2 linked regions of the Macaca fascicularis genome follow. The protein of the gene in region 1 purifies or fractionates together with the protein of each later gene. This does not show direct contact. Links are inferred from orthologs where the notes say so. Each region holds a gene or a part of one and is shown on either strand. Other genes may lie near its edges.

Evidence for each region.
Region 2: the proteins of SCLT1 (region 1) and KIZ purify together in Homo sapiens (co-immunoprecipitation; 3 studies listed by BioGRID and IntAct, counting the BioPlex papers as one, with this or other methods). This does not show direct contact. The link is inferred for Macaca fascicularis from reciprocal best matches to the Homo sapiens genes SCLT1 and KIZ.

The regions. Positions count from the first base shown.
Region 1 is NC_088379.1:134,099,515-134,110,818, reverse strand, and holds the start of SCLT1 (sodium channel and clathrin linker 1), read left to right. Parts: upstream 1-4,909; 5' UTR 4,910-5,424; coding exon of another isoform or gene 5,425-5,458; intron 5,459-11,304. UniProt on the Homo sapiens protein: Adapter protein that links SCN10A to clathrin. Regulates SCN10A channel activity, possibly by promoting channel internalization.
Region 2 is NC_088384.1:66,157,361-66,168,019, forward strand, and holds part of KIZ (centrosomal protein kizuna), read right to left. Parts: intron 4,832-10,659; coding exon 4,186-4,831; intron 3,836-4,185; coding exon 3,520-3,835; intron 1-3,519. UniProt on the Homo sapiens protein: Centrosomal protein required for establishing a robust mitotic centrosome architecture that can endure the forces that converge on the centrosomes during spindle formation. Required for stabilizing the expanded pericentriolar material around the centriole.

The sequences.
Region 1 (11,304 bases):
TACTATGCTCACTACCCAGGTGATGGGATCATTCATACCCCAGATCTCAGCATCATGGAATATAACCATGTAACAAACTTGCACATGTATCCCCTGGATCTAAAATAGAAGTTGAAATTTTTTTTAATAATTAATAAATAATATAATAAAAGCAAAAACCTCCTTCCTAAGTTCCCCTTACCCCAAAAGTCTATCATTAACAAAATCAAAAGACAGTCTGGGAAAAAGTATATGCAAGTCATACTTGATACAAATAACTAATTTCTTTGATGCATAAAGAGCTCCTAGAAATCATAAGGAAAAGACCAACACTCTAACAGAAAAGTGACCAAAAATTATGAACAGCCAGTTAGCTCACAGAGAGAAAATGCAAAATGTTCACTTACAATGACAGAAATGCAAACTAAAACCACAATAAATTACCATTTTTCACTTAGATTGGCAAGGATCAGAAAGTCTGATAACATGCTGTGTTAATGAGGGCATTGAGAAAAAATCATAATGTTGCTAGTGAGGCATAATTGATACAGCCTCTGTGAAGAGCAATACGTCAGTATCAAAATAAAAATGCAAATATCCTTCGACAAAAATAATTCTAGTTCTAGGAGTTACTATACCTGCACATATTCAAAATGCATAAGTGTTGAGGATATTTGTGGTAGCATTGTTTATAATAACAAAATGTTGGAAGCAACTTAAATACCCATCAGTAGAGGACTGGTAAAAAAAAAAATTATGCTATATCATACAATGAAACACTGTATAACTGCTAAAATGAATGAGGCAGCTCTAAATTAACATCTATGCTAAAATACGTTGTGAAGTGAAAAAAAGCAAGGTGCATTTATTTAATAAAAAGGAAGTTTATTTGCATATATGCTTGTGATGCATACACTATCTCAGGAAACACCAACAAACGAGGTGGTTACAGTGGTTGCTTCCCTGAAGGGAATTATCTGCCTGCAGATATGGGAAGGAGGAAGCTTTGCTTTCAACTTCATCACTTTTTAAAAACCTATTTGCATTTTATACTATGACAGACACGCATTACTATTTTAAGGCAACTGAATGGTTTAAAATTATTTTTTGGCCGAGCGCAGTGGCTCACGCCTGTAATCCCAGCACCTTGGGAGGCCAAGGCGGGCGGATCACAAGGTCAGCAGATCAAGACCATCCCGGCCAACACAGTGAAACCCCGTCTCTACTAAAAGTACAAAAATTAGCTGGGTGTGGTGGCACGAGCCTGTAGTTCCAGCTACTTGGGAGGTTGAGGCAGGAGAATCGCTTGAACCCGGAGGCAGAGGTTGCAGTGAGCTGAGATAGCGCCACTGCACTCCAGTCTGGTGACAGAGCAAGACTCCGTCTCAAAAATAAATAAATAAATAAATAAATAAATAAATAAATAAATAAATAAATAAAATAAGGCTGGTCTCCTAAGAGTATGGCGGCTGCCTCTTCTCCCCTTTATATTATATATGCTGAACGTTTCCGAAAAGTCATAATGCATATTATCAAGATGATTACTGTCCTGCAATTCAAGTTTGGCTGTTTAGACTTTTTTTTTTTTTTGAGACGGAGTCTCGCTCTGTTGCCCAGGCTAGAGTGCAGTGGCCGGATCTCAGCTCGCTGCAAGCTCCGCCTCCCGGGTTTACGCCATTCTCCTGCCTCAGCCTCCCGAGTAGCTGGGACTACAGGCGCCCACCACCTCGCCCGGCTAGTTTTTTGTATTTTTTAGTAGAGACGGGTTTCACCGGGTTAGCCAGGATGGTCTCGATCTCCTGACCTTGTGATCCGCCCGTCTCGGCCTCCAAAGTGCTGGGATTACAGGCTTGAGCCACCGCGCCCTGCCTGTTTAGACTTTCTTAATATAATGTTTATTGTTAATCTGTTTCTACTTTTAACCCCTATTCTTCAAATTGCTCTTAAAACAAGTCAAAAAAATAAATTTTCAATTATTCTGATTGCTTTCTCTTTACCTGGAAAGACCTCTAAAAGGAAACGAAGGAAGAGAAAGGAGACCGAACACTGGAGCATTAAGAACCCGAGAAAAGAAAAAAAAGGTCCACAAAGTTTAAAAGAAATAAATTATGGTAAAAGTGTTTTCTCAACCAAATGATCCGCAAGGAAAATTTCCAAATTCCTCTGCTCAACAAAATTTCTTTTAGTTTTTCTACAATAATGATTTCTTTTCAGTTTCCATACCGCCCCGAGGCCCCGCCCATTTATAAGAGAAACGAAGAAACGAAGAAACGAGGAAGTCAGCCTGACAGTGGGAGTACGCTCAATTAGCAGGAGACAACTGAAAAGTAAAATACTTTTCATTGTTTTCCAGAGATCAAGCGAAAGACAAGACCTCGCGACCGCGAAAGGAAGGTCAGAGAGAAGAGGGAATAACAAAAGAACACAGACCACGAAGCTTTTCTCAAAACACTGGCTTCCTCCTCTTAGCCGAGGTCAACGCAGAGGGCTCGGCTTTAGGCTCCACCCAGCTTCCTACACGTTCTGAGGGAGGGGCTTGGAACACTGAAGCAGCGACACTTGATTTTTCCAGGAAAGAAAAATGTTGAAGGGCCACAGGTGAACATCTGAAGACTTCTAATCGTTCCACTAAAGTTTGAGTGGTTTCCTAGAAGAAGGAAGGGTGCTTCAGAAATAAAAATACCGTGCAATAATTTGAAAATCAACTGTAAAGCATTAAGATTACAACAGAACATGTACAGAAATAATTCATTTAATACAACTACAGGCTAACTGGCTATATAAGCAAAAACTATAAATTATACCAGCTATAAATTAGATTATACTATACTCCTGGGGAGGCATGTTCATGGCGGTTAACAGTTGTGAAATTAGAACCATCCTGCCTGAGTTCAAATCGCAACTCAGGCACTTGCCAGCTGTGTGATCTATTCTGACCCTTGCTTAAACTTCTAACTTTGTATTCTTCATGGTACTTTGCACATAGTACTGGGTGCTCAATGTCAATTGATCAACCGAATTAATGTTAGTGAAAGTCACTAATTTTCAATCTATACAATTATCTATGAGTATGTACATTTCCACTTGTCATTCCTTGTATTCAATTTATACTAATAGATACTTTCCAGGAACATCTACTGAATTCTTTCATTCCTTCCATCAGATATTTAATCAATTCTGTGTTCCAGGTATTATGATGGAGCCTGGAGACAAACTACAAAACATGATAGATAATGCAGGAAGGAGCATGAAATAAGTACTAAGGTGGCACCTACCTTGGGAGAAGTGGATAGAGAACTCAGGACGTGTGAAAAGGAGAAACACGAGAGGGATCCTTTAAGGATAAGTGAAAACAATTTTGTTTCCTAATGATGAAACTTACGTTGAAAATACTCCATTAAAATTCATCTACTAAAATCTTGTAACCACAAACACAAAAACAAAAAACTATCACGATCATAATTATGATTATGTAAGCTAAAAAAAAATCGAGTGCAGACACAAAAATTTTCACCTGAGATACTCACTTTATGTAACTACCACTCATCATTATAGCCAGAAGGTATTTGCTTCCATCCAGTTTGGGTGTAAGCATAGAGTTAAGTCTATAATTATTTATTTGATGCCAAGTAGAAATACAGTATGACAATATACAAGGTTCAAATGTGGGAGAAGTTACAAGCAAGTCCTCGGAGAGTCAGTGAGATGTTTATGAAGAGTCATATACTGAACTCCATAAACGAGTTGGAGCTTGCACACTCAATTTTCCCTTTATGTAAAAAGTTTTCGTGTAAACATTATAGCTACTAAAAATCAGAACAAGTTCAATTATCCACGACCCAAAGCTAGATTAGACCTTTTCAATGATTATTAAGCTACACATCCATATTTAACAGCTAGTCTTTAGAGGAAGGGACCATCTCATTCTATTAACAGCGAGTATTGAGTCAGGCCTTCAGATGCCTAACTGCACATATTCGAATACATTTTTAAAAATTTCTTAACACATATCGCTAAGGTTACTTTATATGACATTATGAGTACAGGACAACAAAACTCTTAAGCTGTTAAACAGAAAGCCAAATCAAGCTGCATCTATGACATGCCTGTTTAGTGAAACTTTACTTCAATCCATAAAAATACAATTTATTAAAAGCGCAAAACTAGTGGCTAGCTTCAAATTAACATATTTGTTGCTAGTGGTGAGATTTCCTCCAATGTTAAATAATTAAAAAAAAAACATACGTTTTAAATCCAGACAAAATCAATTTTCAAAAATGAAAATTGTAATCTATCCACAAATGTAAGTTTTACCGTTTTGTTTTTTGCAAAAAAAAAAAAAAAAAAAAAAGTTCCTTTTATCTTTCCTTATATTTGAGGAAAAAAGCTTATCTTTGAAGAAATAGCTGCTGAATTTGCAAGATCTTTTGAATACTTCTAACTACATGCTTTATTACTACACAGTTAAATATTTAAACAACAGTTGTCTCCTTTGGCAGGATGGTACTTACCTTCTTGAGATGACCAAATCGAAACACAGAACTCCTCCAGAGGTACAGCCTTGGTGGGAGATTCTGAAGACCCAAGTCTGGCTTCTACCCCTAGCCGCATGAACCTGCATCCTTTACTTAGTCCAGAAAGGCTTAGTATATTAGTAACCCAAAGATAGTGAGGGCATTTAAACTGTGTATTTCATGCCCTACTCACGTTTGCATTTTGGGTTTTAAAAAAAAAAAAAAAAAAAAGAGGTTGGGCCCCACCACCTGGAGACACTGTCCCACCAGTTTGCCCGCCGCGCCAAGCCGGTGGCTCAGCTGTCACCTAGGTTCTCACGACTCCTCCTATTGCTTGACAGCCAGCCAATAGCGTGCTAGGACTCTAGGACGCGCGATGGCGTAAGCGCCAACGCCCGCGTGATGACGCAAGCGGCGTCACCGTCTCCAAGGAGTGGTTCGGGGCACCGGTTTCAAAGTCGCAGGGCGGGCCGAGTGGACTTCCGCTGCTGGCCTGGGGCTTCCCAGCCGTGTTGGCGTCGTCTTCTCCAACCCACGCCGCTCCGCGTAGAACGCCGCTCTCAGGCTGCCCTCCAGCTCCCGCGGCACTCTCCTAGGTGGCCCGACGAGACCCAGAGTGACCCGCGGGACGCCTGTATCGAGCAAGTCCTCTTCCCACCAGGGTGGGATTCGGTTGAACGTGGAACAGAATTCACCTGGCGCGCCCCCAGCAATCTTCAGTCTCTCTCCAGGGCCTGGGACTCGTCTGGGGCGCGGGGGAAGGAAGCGTGGCGGGGCTGTAGATGCCGCGTGAGTAGGATGCAGATTGCACCGCTGGAGCGCTTGACAACCAACCGAGCGTTGGCTTAGTTTTGTTTTCCCGCACAGCAAACTCTGTGTCTTTCAGAGGAAGGTAAAGGTGGTGAAAACTCCAAACTAAAATTGTATCGAAATGGCTACAGAAATCGACTTTCTGAGAGAGCAAAGTAAGCTCCATGTTTTTTTGAGACTTCATATTCACATACAATGTTTAATATCGTCGTCGTTGACCGACAAATCTTTTTTGAATGCTGGTTGGGTACATTTAAATTTGTAAAAATTTAAAGAAGTTAGTTGCAGGGAAAAAAAAAAGAGCTTGATGGTATACGTGAGGATGTGTGTATATTTAAGCAGAACCGTATGGTGGTACTTGTGGCTTACACAGAATTCTGCTAGACGCTAAACATGTTTGTTATGCTCCTCTCGTGCTCTGAAGATTAGAAGGCTAATGGCCAGCAAGAGTTTCCAAGTGTGCATTTAAAACCTAGGGGCCCAGCTCTCTGGCCATTTATTAAAAAGATGTTTATTGAACTCCTGTTTCTATTATGTACCAGACACTATAGAAGAACAGCTGCTGCAAAGATAAACAGGACAGTTTTTTACCTTAAGAATTTAATTTGGGGAGGGAAATGTATTCCAAAGTATATTGAAGTGGCAGCAACTGCTGGCTCTTTTGCCACAGTCTCAGGGATTGTTGGAATGATTAAATGAATATTAAAATGTGTAAAGGATTTAGAATAGTATCTGATACATTGTTAATTTATTGTTATGTAATAGTTAAATATTAACTGTTACACGATTATTATTAAAATATGTTCAAGGAAGGTGCTATTAGGCTGAAACGTGCAATACCAATATGAATTTAGTATATAAAAACTCTAGGCATCCCAAATAGAACAATATTGGCGACACTGAGGGCATTAGGAATATGCTTTGTTAAAGATTTGCAATAAGGCTGGTTTGAATGTAATATTGATGTAAATGGAATTGGAATATTTATATAGGGAAATGGCAAGTGCAGTCGAAGGAGTAGAAAGGGCTGGATGGTGAAGGGCCCTGTCTTCTCTGTGCTAAGGAGTTTGGACCACTGCATGGGTTATAGGAATTCAGTTGAGAGTGGCATGATCAAATTGTAATTTAGAAGGCCCAGTCTGATTTTTATGGGGAATGTGCATTATAGCAGAGTGCAGTTAGTTGACTACTGTCATCATTCAGATAAGAAGTAAACTAAGTTGGGCACAGGGAGATTGGGGATCAGGGGATTTGAAGGAAAGAGATAGAGGACGCTTCGTTTTTGCTTGAGCAACAGGGAAGTTAGGAAAAAGGTAGTAAGTCCCATTTTGGCAGCATTATAGACCAGTGGTTAAGAACTCAGTTAGCCTCTAGATTTAGTCTGTCTGGGCTCAGAGCCTACCTCTTTCCAGGTCTGTGACCTCGAGCAAGTTTCCTAGCTTTTCTGCACCTCAGTTTTCTCATTTGTGTAATGAGTATAAGAACACAAGAATCCTCTTGAAGTTCTGAGACTTAAATGAGATGATGAAAAAGCAGTGAGCATAGTGTCTGGCACATTTTAAGTGCATGGTATATGTTATCTAAAATAATTAATGACACTGTAATGACACAATAACATTAGCATTATTTCTTAGGTTTGTAGTGAGAATATCCCCATCCCATAAGAACAGCTAACTGGCCACCATAAGAGTGGTGTGGGACAGGAGTTGGTTGATGAGGAGTTTGGCTAGAGTCAGGAGAGTACTTGAAGCAGTGAGAAACTATTAATTTCATAAGAATGATCCAGCCAGAATTCTTAGATAAAACTGAGATCCAAATACCAGGGGGAAACAAATAAGACAACTGAAGCATAGTAACATTTTTTGAAAAATGAGTGGTATTTAATAGTTCCACAGAAGACAAGTGGAGTGCAAGAAGGAAATCTCAAGCAGAAGGAGCAGAAGAAGGAATGGTTCAAAGGCTTAAAATAACTGGTTTTATTCAGGGAATCAGAGCCTAGAATGGTAGCGTATGCATGAAGAGATAAGAATGAGAGTTGAGTGTCTGCGTTGCTCTGCTTTTTTCTTTAACTGGATTTTGCATGCCATTTGAAGGTGGTGGATTATTCCATTAAGTGACCCACCCAAATACCAGCCCAGATAAAGGTAGATGGTCTTCTTTCCACCTGCCTCTGACTTTTTCTACACTGATTTCTGTTGATCTCGATTGTCTCTTTGTTCCTTTTGAATTTGGGAGCCTAGGTCAAGACCATTTGTTTTGGTACTTCTCAACTGGCAACCCCACATGATATTTCCTCTGATAATTACTATTTCAGCTTTACATATCATAACAACAGGCAGCTCCACACTCAACCAGGCTACTAGTAGAGTAAGCTTGTAGCATATTTGCTGTGTACTGTTCTTCCACCTCTGTCTGGGAAAGATCAGTTAGTTTTTAGGAACCTGTTCAAAGAGGTACTTGTATTATCAATCTAAGGAACTAAGAATTCATTCATTAGTGGGGTGTGAGACTCACTGGCAGAGTGGTAATGGACTCATTTTTTTCTTTTCGTTCTCTTAACAGTGTTGGACCCAAACATTTTTAATTTTGATGAAATAATTCATCAATTTTTTCTTTTATGAATTGTGCTTTTGGTGTCATGTAAGAAATCATTGCCTAACCCAAGGTTGCAAAGATTTCTTTTATGTTTTCTTCTAGGAGTTTTATAGTTTTAGGTTTTACCTTTACATCTATGGTTCATAGAGTTAAAGTTTATACAAGGCATGAGGTAAGGATCCAGGCCACTTTTTTGCATTGGATGCCCAATTGGAAAAACTACCCTTTCTCCATTGAATTACTTTTGCTCCTTTGCAGTTGTTTATATATGTATGTATCTATTTATGAACTCTATTCTTTTCCACTGATTTATTTGTCTTATCTGGACACCAATATCCCGCTGTCTTAATTATATCAGCTTTATAGTACGTTTTAAAGTAAAATTGGTTCTTTTTTACCTCATTGATGTATTTCTTTAAATTTTCTCAGCTATACTTTGTAGTTTTTAATGTTTAGGTTTTGCACATCTTTTGTTAGATTTATGCCTGTGTATTGAAATTTTTGATACTACTGTAAGTGGTATTATTCTTTTACTTTCAGTTTCTGATTTTTCGTTGGTAGTATGTAGAAATAACATTTCTTTTTTATTATTATACTTTAAGTTCTGGGGTACATGTGCAGAACGTGCAGTTTTGTTACATAGGTATACATGTGCCATCGTGGTATGCTGCACCCATTAACCCGTCACCTACATTAGGTATTTCTGCTAATGTTATCCCTCCCTTAGTCCCCCACCCCCCAACAGGCCCCAGTGTGTGATGTTCCCCTCCCTGTGTCCACGTGTTCACCTTGTTCAGCTCCCACTTATGAGTGAGAACATGCAGTGTTTGGTTTTCTGTTCTTGTGATAGTTTGCTGAGAATGATGTTTCCAGCTTCATCCATGTCCCAGCAAAGGACATGAACTCATCCTTTTTTATGGCTTCATAATATTCCATGGTGTATATGTGCCACATTTTCTTTATCCAGTCTATCATTTATGGACATTTGGGTTTGTTCCAAGTCTTTGCTGTTGGGAATAGTGCCACAATAAACATACGTGTGCATGTGTCTTTATAGTAGAATGATTTATAATTCTTTGGGTATATACCCAGTAATGGGATTGCTGGGTCAAATGGTATTTCTGGTTCTAGATCCTTGAGGAATCGTCACACTGTCTTCCACAATGGCTGAACTAATTTACACTTGCATCAACAGTGTAAAAGCATTCCTATTTCTCCACATCCTCTCCAGCATCTGTTGTTTCCTGACTTTTTAATGATCGCCATTCTAACTGGCGTGAGATGGTATCTCATTGTCGTTTTGATTTGCATTTCTCTAATAACCAGTGATGATGAGCATTTTTTCATGTTTGTTGGCTGCATAAATATCTTCTTTTGAGAAGTGTCTGTTTATATACTTTGCCCACTTTTTGATGGGATTGTTTGCTTTTCTGTTGTAAATTTGTTTCTTTGTGGATATTAGACCTTTGTCAGATGGCTAGATTACAACAACTTTCTTCCATTCTGTAGGTTGCCTGTTCATTCTGATGATAGTTTTTTTTGCTGTGTAGAAGCTCTTCAGTTTAATTAGATTCCATTTGTCAGTTTTGGCTTTTTTTTGCCGTTGCTTTTGGTGTTTTAGACATTAAGTCTTTGCCTATGCCTACGTCCTGAATGGTATTGCCTAGGTTTTCTTCTAGGGTTTTTATAGTTTTAGGTCTTACATTTAAGTGTTTAATCCATCTTGAGGTGATTTTTGTATAAGGTGTAAGGAAGTGGTCCAGTTTCAGTTTTCTGAATATGGCTAGCCAGTTTTCCCAACACCATTTATTAAATAGGGAATCTTTTCCCCATTGCTTGTTTGTGTCATGTTTGTCAAATATCAGATGGCTGTAGATGTGTGGTGAGAAATAATGTTTTTTAATACTCTGCTCTGCAGCTTTGCCAAACTCATTCATTAGCTCTAGTAGTTTTGTAGAGTCTATCAGTAGTTTTATGTAGATAGTCTTGTCATCTGAAAATAAAAACAGTTTTATTTCTTTCTTTTCAATTTGGATGCCTTTTATTTGTTTTCCTTGCCTTATTGCAGTGACTAGAATCTCTGGTACAGTGTTGAACAGAAGTGATAGGAATACGCATCCATGTCCTGTTCCTGATCTTATGGGGAAGGCATTTATCTTTCAGAATTAGGTATGATACTAGTTGTAGGTTTTTCATAGATGTTCTTATGTTGAGAATGTTCCTTTCCATTCTTAATTTGCAGAGAGTTTTTATCAAAATGGATGCTGGATTTTTAAAAATGCTGTTCTGCATCCATTGAGATTATCAGATATTTTTTCATTTTTCATTTGTTAATAGAGTGAATTACATTGATTAATTTCAAATGTTAAAACCACCTTGCCTTTCTGGGATAAATTCTACTTGCTCATGATGTATAATCCTTTCTCGATTATTATTGAATTTTATTTTATAAATGTTTGCTTAAAATTTTAGTGTGTTCAGAAGCTTTTTTTTCTTTTTGGGACAGGATCTTCCTCTGTTACCCAGGCTGGAGTGCAATGGCACAGTCATGGCTCTTTGCAGCCTCAACCTCCTGGGCTCAAGCGATCCTTTTGCCTCAGCCTCTTGAGTAACTGGGACTGCAGGCACATGCCACCATATCTGGCTATTTTTTTTTTCTTTTTGTAGAGATAGGGTCTCCTTATGTTACCCAGGCTGGTCTTGAACTCCTGGGCTCAAGTGATCCTCTTGTCTCCCAAAGTGCTAGGATTATAGGCGTGAGCTATCATGCCCAACCTATGAAGCTTTTTTTCTTTTCTTTTTTTCTCCCCCCGCCCCACCATTTTTTTCTTTCTTGCGCAAGGATCTCACTGTCACCCAGGCTGGAGTTTAGTGGTACACTTGTAGCTCACTACAACCTGGAACTCCTAGGCTGAAACCTTCCACCTGCCTCAACCTCCTCAGTAGCTAGGACTATAGGCATGTGCCACTGCACCTGGCTAATATTTTTATTTTTATTTTTTTGTAGAAACCAGGTCTCCCTTTGTCACCCAGGCTGGTCTTGAACTCTTGGTTTTAGGCAATCCTCCCACTTCAGCCTCTTAAAGTGCCTTTTTTCCCCCCGCTTCCCAATATTTTTGTCTGGTTTTAATCTCAGGTAATGCCAGCCTCATAGAATTACTTGGAAAATATTTTGTACTCTTCAACTTTCTGTAAGAGTTTGTATAAAATGGTGTTATTTCTTCCTTAAATATTTGATAGAATTCACCAGTGAAGCCAACTGGACCTGAAGTTTTCTTTGTGAAAAAGTTTTAAAATACAAACTTAATTTCTTTAATAAATAAAGAGCTATTCAGTACTCTGTATTGTACTCGAGAAGAACCTCTACAGGTCTCACATTCCCTAGGGTTCTTTCTTTGTGCAGTCT
Region 2 (10,659 bases), on another chromosome or scaffold:
ATCGCTTGAGGTCAGCAGTTCAAGACCAGCCTGGCCAACATGGTGAAACCAGGTCTCTACTAAAAATACAAAAATTGGCCAGGAGCAGTGGCTCATGCCTGTAATCCCAGCACTTTGGGAGGCCGAGGCGGGCAGATCACCCGAGGTAAGGAGTACAAGACCAGTCTGACCAACATGGAGAAACCAAGTCTCTCTAAAAACAAAACAAAACAAAACAAAACACAAAAATTAGCCGGGCATGGTGGCACATGCTTGTAATCCCAGCTACTCGGGAGGCTGAGGCAGAAGAATCGCTTGAACCCAGGAGGCAGAGGTTGCAGTGAGCTGAGGTTGTGCCATTGCACTCCAGCCTGGGCAACGAGAGCAAAACTCCATCTCAAAAAAAACCAAAACCAAAACAAAACAAATTAGCCAGGCGTGGTGGCAGGCACCTGTAATCCCAACTATCTGTAAGGCTAAGGCAGAAGAATAGCTTGAACCCAGGAGGCAAAGGTTGCAGTGAGCTGAGATTGTGCCACTGGCTTCAGTAAGGGCCAGTCTCTTTTAAAGTCTCATCTGATTAGGTCAGGTCCACCTTGAATAATTTTCTTTTTTTTTTTTTTGAGACGGAGTCTCACTCTGCCGCCCAGGCTGGAGTGCAGTGGCCGGATCTCAGCTCACTGCAAGCTCCGCCTCCCGGGTTCACGCCATTCTCCTGCCTCAGCCTCCCGAGTAGCTGGGATTACAGGCGCCCGCCACCTCGCCCGGCTAGTTTTTTGTATTTTTTAGTAGAGACGGGGTTTCACCGTGTCAGCCAGGATGGTCTCGATCTCCTGACCTTGTGATCCGCCCGTCTCGGCCTCCCAAAGTGCTGGGATTACAGGCTTGAGCCACCGCGCCCGGCCTGAATAATTTTCATTTGACTAGCTCAAGGGCAAATGATTTGGGACCTTCATTATATCTGCAAAATCCTTCATCTTTGTCACGTGACAGCTTCATCACAGGAGTAAAATCCACCAGACTCCCAATCCTGCCCACTCTCAAGGCAAGGGGATTACACAGGGCACAAACAACAGGAAGAGAGAATCTCAGGGCCATCTGCACTTCTGCCTACCACACTGATGATTAATCCTAATGAACTAACGCTGTCAGGTTAATCCTAAATCAAGCCTCATCACACTATCCTCCTCCTAAAATAACCTTGAACAGCTCTACAAAGCATAGAGAGTGAATTCCAAATTCATTAACCTGATATTCCAGGCCTTTCTCAAGCTCACCCTAGGTGACATTTTGAACCTTAACTACAAAAGGCCCTCCTCACCCATGCGGTCCTTTGCTCTGCCCCTCCCATGTCCTCTGTGTTCTCTGCTCTGCATTCCTTCTTGCATTTTCCTCCAGACCCTATTTGCTCTTTCCCTCCTCTTCCTCCTTCAAAGACTTCAAGATGTTGTGCAGATTCTACATTCCAGATCATATGCTCCTGTGTGTCCTCCTTTGTCCCATTTATGCATCTTTGCTAATTAAATTCATTCAAGTGATTTTTCTCCAGGCCCCCAACAGACCCTAAAGTCAACTGAAATACTGAACTGTTGAGGTTATAGTGTTAGTTCTATAAATATGATGCTATGTCTCAGACTAATAATTAACCCTAAGAGCAAAGGAGAAGAGCTCCAACTAAACAATAAATTAACAAAATGTGGGGCCTCAAATGCAGTGGTGATGTCAGGGAGTTAACTAGCATTCATTTAAAACCACCTTCGACCTATTCCTGGAGAATATTTTTACCCAGAAAATCAGTAGGCTCAAATTTGATAATATAGACACAAAAACAACCACTGCTGACTGACATTTTCATTCTAGGGGTATTTTATTAAGAAAAATACTCAAAATTCCCTACATGCCCATATTTTCCAATAAATACTGGAAAACTATATGCCAAAACTCCAAGGAGCCTGACTTTATGCCTCCAAGATCATTTTTAAAAAGTCTTTCGAATGGAGACAGAATGAACATTCTTGACTCTTAGAGAAATGTTAAGTAGGAATTCCATACACATACCCAATTTTTTTCACCTCAGAAAAAGACTGAGTCCTGGGTAAGTATATTAGTCTCCTTGTCAGCCTACCAAAGTACTAACTGGTCCATCATGCCATAAAAATAAGCCCACAAACACAAAACTAGAGATAGATAACATTCTATCTCCAGTAATAAAGTTTCTGATGATGTAATATGCATTACCTGTGTCTCTTTGATGAAAGTATTATTACTAGAAAAATCCATTTGGCTTGCCTCTCCAATAAATCAAATTTCTCAATGACAGGAACCATGTCGGTTCTTCCATCCCTCATGCAAGAACTTTTACTTGGATATGCTCTTAATAAATATTTCCTGAACATCAGTTTGGATACAATCTATAAATTAAAGCCCATTAATAAACTTTTCACCATAAGTAGACAATGAATGGTAAGAGGCAATATATTAAAAGGTACAATGGTGTTCTAAAAGAGAACATATGCCCTCCTATACAAAAATGCCCACTTGGCTTTTCACTCCTGCCAGCTTTGTGGAAATGAAAGGGTGACCAGCATTACGGTGTAACAGAAAATTCTGGAGGTGGGGCAGTGGTGTGACATTCAGGCAGACAGGGTGCGGGGTGCTCTGCCCCAGCAGATCCAGCAGAACTATATGACTCCACTCTGCCCCGGCCTTCGTTTCCTCATTTGTAAAAGGTGAGATCTACCTTAGGTTGTTTACTTAGGTTCTTTCTACTCCTAAAAGAGATTTGATGTTATTAATGCCATTTTTCAGCACAGAATCAGTTTTCAACAGTTAACAAGTTTTCTACATAGTAGATACACAAGAACTTTCTACAACGTTTTCTTCTAGCATCTCCGATCAGTAGCACAAAAGCATATATAAATTTTTATCAGTTGGATAATGTAAGTTCTCAAAATGTATAACGCTGATGTTCCCATTTAATATTAGAGATTCCAATGTTTCCTATTTACATTCAAAAAAGGAAATCTGGCTTATATATACAATTGGAAGAGCTTATTAACTCATATTTAATCAGATGACAAAAATGATACTACGGCAAGGAATATAAGGATTAAGCAAATTAATTAGACATAAAGTTCTCAGACTCTAATACTGCATTCCTAGTAAGTTTAACTGTCACCTTCTGTGCTACCAAAACTTCAAAACAGATTTATTTTCTGAAAGGCTTGAGAGTAGGGTGTTGGGGAATGACTTATTATGTTAACCAGGGATTGTGTGTATATAATTACAAGCTGCAATCACCATAACTCAATTATATCCAAACGTTTAAAGCTTTTCTGTTAAAGAAAGAAGGAAGGGAGGAAGCAAAGAAGAAAGAAGGACAGAAAGAAAATTAGGTCTTGCCTAAAAGATTACTTATGAGACTTAAGGAATTTACACATTCATGGCTGAGTGCTCAATAATACATTCCCAGTGGAATGGTCTCTAGAAATGTCTACAATTAAAAACAGAACAGTAGAAAAAAAAAATTGAATGGCTTACTCTCTAGTTAGTGCGTGAGTGGAGGATTCCTTTTCTGAATCAGGAGAGCTTAGGGTTTGCAAAATACAATTATTTTTTTCAGTGGATAGGGCATCTCTTTCTTGCTCAGCATGGATTAATTTTAAGGCCTCTATTCCATCTTCTCCCTCCACCTTGCCACCTGGATTTGGCTGTGGTTCTGGGCTCTTTAAAAACAGGTCATCTTCACTTATTGAAACAGTGAGGTCACTGCTGGTGCTCCAACTTTCCTCCTCCTCCTCTTCCTGCTTTTTTCTGAAGGGCTTTTGTGACTTTGGGTCCCCGTGAGCAAGATGATCTGCAAGTGGGGACATGAATCGATTACCAATCACTGACTTCAGGGGGAAGCAAGGTAACACACAGCAGAATCACTCATCAGTTAAAAACACGGAGAAGCAGCCCACACACAATTCATTACGGAACTTAAAAGCTTAAACATATTTTCAAATGTTTAAAAAAAAATCACAGCGGGTTTAAAAATCAGCAAATTCACTTGCATGTACATTTTTAAGAGTTCATTAGAATGGATTTTGTTGGCAAAGATACTATTTTATGACAAAGAGAGATAATTAGAGAGTATATTTTGTCCTTACATAAGATCACTACCACCCAGAAAACTCAGCAACCAAACTCAGCCTCTCATCCCACCTGAAACACCTTGCCAAGGAGAATGCTTCTCTTGAGACCACTTATTTTCAGATTCACAGTATTCCGAAACTGATATCGGAGAGACTGGCGGGCTGGCTCTTTTTTCCTCAACTTCAATATGTTCCCGTGTCAGTATTTCTCCCTCTGATCCCTCTGATCTGCTGGAACTGTCACACTTTAAACCAGTGGTTCTCTTCTCTGGACTTAATCTTTCCTGTAACGGGGAATTGAGTTCAGCAGACTTTTTGCCTTCAGATAAATTACTCTTGCCATGACGTGTGTTACTTCCTATCTCCAAGCAATGAGTTTGTTCCTCCTCAGACAATACACTGGCTGTGACTGGCGTTTTCTCACCAATCTGAAGAGATGCCTTTCCATCTATGTTGTCAGACTTATTTAAGCACTGTGTGTCATTACTAGTTTGTACTACACAGCTGTCTGTCACATTACTTCTCTGGGCTGTCTGTCGGTGTGAATGTGGGTCAGGAATTGAAAAGTTCTTTGTTGGTTGGGGAGATTTGTGCTCTGTACTGAAATCTCCCATGCTTGAGACGGCTGACATTTGGCGGCCCATAAAGATTGTTGCTGGTTGATACAATCCTCTTGACATGGCTGTTCCTGAGTTAATTCCCTCCTGCACTGCAACCTGCAACACCAAAAGAGATGTGAGCTAAACATATTGTGTATAAACAATTAGGTGGTTTTTTTTTTTTCCCCCGGAAATGAAAGGAGGTCAAACAAAGCATGATTACTGAAATCAGCACCTACCACGTTTTATTAAACTCATGGCTTCCTACATAATGAATGAGCAAAAAGCAGTAAAGTCCATACAATTTAATTTTAATAACAATGATAGTTCACAAAACCAACATAGTAAAGAAAGTAGGCCAGGTGTGGTGGCTCATGCCTGCAATCCCAGCACTTTGGGAGGCTAAGGTGGGCAGATCACCTGAGGTTAGGAGTTCGAGACCAGCCTGGCTAACATGGTAAAACTCTGTCTCTGCTAAAAATACAAAAATTAGCCGGGCATGGTGGCAGGTGCCTGTGATGCCAGCTGTTTGGGAAGCCGAGGCAGGAGAATCACTTGAACCCGGGCAGCAGAGATTGCAGTGAGCTGAGATCATGCCACTGCACTCCAGCCTGGAGACTCCATCTCAAAAAAAAAAAAAGAAAGTACAGAATATATGTTTTTGAAAAAAGAAATACATGCTTTGAAAAGACATCATTAGGAAAGTGAAAACCCACACAATGGGAGAAAATATTATAAATTATGTATTTGATAAGGGTCTAGTATCCAAAATACATAAAGAAGTCATATAACTATGTAATAAAAAGACAAATAGCCCTTAAAAGTGGGAAAAGGATTTAGATAGACATTTCTCCAAAGAAGATATATGAATGGCCAATAAACACATAAAATGATACTATCGTTACTCATTAGGGAAACATAATTCAAAAGCACAGTAAGATATCACTTTACCCACTATGATGGCTGTCTTGGTCTGTTCATGCTGCTGTAACAAAATATCATAAACTAGACAGTGTATAAATAACAGAAATTTGTTTCTGATAGTTCTGGAGGCTGGGAAGTCCAAGATCGAGGCAGGCGCCAGTAGACTCCGGGTCTGGTAAGGAACTGCTTTCTCTCAGACAGCATCTTTCTGCTGTGTGCTCGCAGGGTGGAAGGGGCAAGCAAATTTCCCCGGCCTCTTTTATAAAGAAACTATTGTGCCCATGAAGGCTCTGCCCCCTTGATTCAATCACTTCCCAAAGTCCTCATCCTCAAAAACCAACACCTTGGGGATTAGAATTTCTTTTTTTTCTTTTTTTTTTTTTTTGAGACGGGGTCTCGCTCTGTCCCCCAGGCTGGAGTGCAGTGGCCGGATCTCAGCTCACTGCAAACTCCACCTCCCGGGTTCACGCCATTCTCCTGCCTCAGCCTCCCGAGTAGCTGGGACTACAGGCACTCGCCACCTTGCCCGGCTAGTTTTTTGTATTTTTTTTAGTAGAGACGGGGTTTCACCGTGTTAGCCAGGATGGTCTCGATCTCCTGACCTCGTGATCCACCCGTCTCGGCCTCCCAAAGTGCTGGGATTACAGGCTTGAGCCACCGCACCCGGCCTAGAATTTCAATACATGAATTGTGCCGGGGGCGGGGGGGGGACACAAATATTCAGCCCATATCAATGGCTATACTAAGAAAGATAGACGTTTTAATTTAGGATATTTAAGATGGAGAGTATCCCTCCAATAATTAGGAGAAATATGAGATAGAAATAAAGACATTATCACTTACAGGTTCTGGAGAGTACACGGCATACCTGGAGGCCAGCACACAAACGTCAGGGAGTGCAGGCAGAGAGAGGAAGAAAAGGGACCCGTGTCCTCACATGGTGGAAGCAGTGGTTTGAGGGGAAGGACACATGAGCCAATGTCTTTAATGGGTCCCAGGTGTTATCCAAACAGGTTTCCCAAAGGCAGCATGGGGAGTTTTAACTGGTGAGTTTAAAGCAAGCAGGCATGAGTTTTGGGAGGTTACCCAGTGACTGAGAGGTGGTCACTGTGGCATATGGTCCATGGGGAATGTGAAGGTAAGAAGGGCCTGTCAAGCAGGCTGTATCCAGCTATCCCATAGGGAAGTGGTCACCAGAGAGCAGCTGTGTAAGGCAGGTATCTGGACCAACCACACTGAGGAACTGGGGAAAAAGGTGGAACTGCCAACTGTGTCGGGGTGACTCAGTCCTGCTTCTGGTATGAGAAGGTTCAACTTAGATTTAAAATGTTTGCTGAGGCAACATAAAATTATAAGAATTCACTACGGCCGGGGCGCAGTGGCTCAAGCCTGTAATCCCAGCACTTTGGGAGGCCGAGACGGGCGGATCACAAGGTCAGGAGATCGAGACCATCCTGGCTAACACGGTGAAACCCCGTCTCTACTAAAAAAATACAAAAAACTAGCCGGGCAAGATGGCGGGCGCCTGTAGTCCCAGCTACTCGGGAGGCTGAGGCAGGAGAATGGCGTAAACCCCGGAGGCGGAGCTTGCGGTGAGCTGAGATCTGGCCACTGCGGCTCCAGCCTTGGCGACAGAGCGAGACTCCGTCTCGGGGGGGAAAAAAAAAATTCACTACAATAGGCAATAACAAGTGTTGTCCAGGATGTGGAAAAACTAGAATCATACACTGCTGATGGGAATATAAAACGGTGCAGTCACTTTAGAAGAGTTTGGCAGCTCCTGAAAAAGTTAAACAGAGTTATCATCTGACCAGCAATTCCATATCTAGGCAGAGGTATGGAGAATGTAAACATATGACTACACAAAATATTGTACAAGGATGTGCACAACATTATTTATGATAGCCAAAAGTGGAGATAACTCCAATGGCCAACATTAGATGACTAGATAAAATGTAATACATTCACACAAGAGAATAATTTTCAGCCACGAAAAGAAATAAATTACTGATACCTGTTACATCATGGATGAACTTCGAAAATATCATGCTAAATGAGAAGCCAGTCACAAAAGACCATATACTGTAAGATTTCATTTATAGAAAATGTTCAGAATAGGCAAATTTTTAGAGACAGGAAGTAGTTAACTGTTTGCCCCAGGCTGGGGACTGAATGGCTAGGGTGGGTGATGGGGAGTAGAAGGAATCGGGGGAGGTAAAGAGTGATTGCTAACAGGTATGGGGTTTCTTTTTCAGGAATGAAAATATACTCACATTGATTGTGATTATGGCTGTACAACTCTTAATAAAAACTATAAAGCTGTCACAAAAAAAGAAAATGAACAAATGAATAAAAAATCCTTAGAAGAGAAATTAAGTTATGCAGCTAATCTGAGATTAGGAAGAGTTCCTGGCCCTGAGGCTGAGGTGGGAGGATTGCTTGAGCCCAGGAACTTGAGACCAGCCTTGGCAACATAGTGAGACTACATCTCTACAAAATAAAAAATTAAAAAAATTTTTTTTAATTAAAAAATATTTGGGCACCTGTAATCCCAGATACTCAGGGAGCTGAGGCAGGAGATTTCGCTTGAACCCAGGAGGCAGAGGTTGCAGTGAGCTGAGCTCCATATATATATATATATATATATATATATATATATATATGTATAAAATTAGCTAGGCATGGTGGCACACACCTGTGGTCCCAGCTACTTGGAGACTGAGGCAGGAGAATTGCTTGGGCCCAGGAAGTCAAAGCTGCAGTAAGCTATGATCGCACCACTGCACTCCAGCCTGGGCTACAGAGTGAGGCCATGTCTCAAAAAAAATTAGGAAAAGTACATCTCTCCCATCTCTCCCCATAGAGGGAGGAGGGACAGGAAGATCCAGCAGGATAGAAAAGTATAGAGGAAAAAGGAAGTTCTACCTCCACGATCCTTTAGTACTCTAGCTGTTCTCCCCAGAGAAAGCAACTCTAAGTTTCTTGCAGAAAGGACCTTGATACACTAGTAGGTATGTGCGTAAAGGGTGACATACTTTGCATTACATAATTATAGTTTTTATTATATTCAATTTTAACAGCAGCATATTATCCTATTCTATAGATGTACCATAATTTATGTAAACAGTCTGCTATTGAAGGACATTGGTTTGTTTCCCACCATCTTCCACTCCAAATCATGCTGCAGTGATTATCCCTGAGTGTATGTCTCTCTGCACACAGGCAAGTATATCAGTAGGACACTTTTCTAGAACTGAAATTGCTGGGTCAAGCCTGCCTTATAGAATATTGTCATTTTACCATCCAAAGAGGCCATTATGTCATTTTAAAGAATTTTCCATTATACCATATGGTTTAAATAGCAAAATGATATTAATCAACATTCTGATTCATCAATATGAATAGTATTTGTAATATACTGGTGTCTTCTATTCCTTTTGTAATAAAAAAGGTGATATATGTTATACTGATATAATAAAAACAAATTTTAAAACAGGAAAAATTATCTATTACCACTACCGTAATCTAACAACTACTTTCATTTTTCCTGTTACAAAAAAAACTAGTTGTGTAAATAGATGGCTCTGAGGGATGGGCTACTGTGGAGACTTTAGCAGGGCTAAAAGGGCTGAGGCCTCCGAGTGGCTGTGCAATAGCAGTCATTTGGTGGAGACATGAGGCAAATCAGTGATCAGACTTAGAAGTCTGAGAAGGCTTTAATTTTTCATTTTCAAGACCAGTTTATGAAGTGTTAATGCACCAACACCAGAGCAATGACTAACCCAGGACAGGGAGGACATGGCAGGCCTAAGCACCTTCCTCTTTTGATCTGCTAAAGGCTAAGCCAAAGCACAAAAGAAGGCACATTGCAGATATGAGAAAGACACCTGAGGAGGGCCAAAGGACGTGCCCCTGAGTTACTGCACTCAATTAGTAATTCTCAAATGTCTCCGACCCCCTAAGAGAGGCAAAACTGAACAACGAATCCAGAGCCAAGAAGTGGAGAGAAACAGCAATCAGATTGGTAATCTGCAGAGTCAGGAAAGTAGCAGGGAACCATGATGTACTTATAGTAAATGCTTCAGAACTACAGAAAGTGAAAATAAGGACCTAATTCAAGAGACAACACTGTTAGCAGAGGTTTATCTCCCAAAAAGAGGAGCATTTGTCACTTTCTGTGATAGCAAGTAGTTATGAACTGTTTTGCAATTTTGCCAAGCATTGCCAGACTTCTTGGGATACGGAAATCTGGATCCTCAATAAACTCTAGTAATATACTAATAAATAAGTACATGGCATGTTAGTGGCCTGTAACAAATTAGGAGTTATAAAAAAGTGGCCCTTAATTATGTGTAAAAATAAAAGTCTGTGGACGATGCATCATTCATCCAAGGGCCCAAAAAAGGCAACACGTACTTGAGGATCTGCTTCAACTCAATAGGAAGGTTGTCTTCCTGCGCTATTTCTAGTTGTTGCCAGTATTATTCATAGGGAGCAGTAACTTTTTATTTTGACATAATTTAAACAATATTTTTTATTTATAGAGATGCGGTCTATGTTGCCCAGGGTGGACTCGAACTCCTGGGCTCAAGTGATCCTCCTGCCTCGGTCTCCCAAGTAGCTGGGCCTGCAGGTGTGCATCAACACGCGTGACTTTATTTTGATATAATCTTACACCTACAGAAACATTGCAAAAATAATACAAAACATTCCCCTAACAGTGTTTAGCCAGATTTACCAAATGTTTACATTTTATCCCATTTATCATTTTCTCTCCTTCTACATATATGTGTTTGTCTCTGCATGTGTGTATACTTAAATATAAGCATACGATTTTTTTCTGAATCATTTGAGGGTAAGTTGGGACACCCTGCCTATTTACCACTAAGCACTTCAGTGAGCATTTCCAAAAGCACAGGGACACGCTCGTTCTTGAGCAAAGTTCATGATCAGAATCAGAAAATTTAACATTGATATAATCTTGTTTTCTATTCCACAACCCATAATCCAATTTTGTCAAT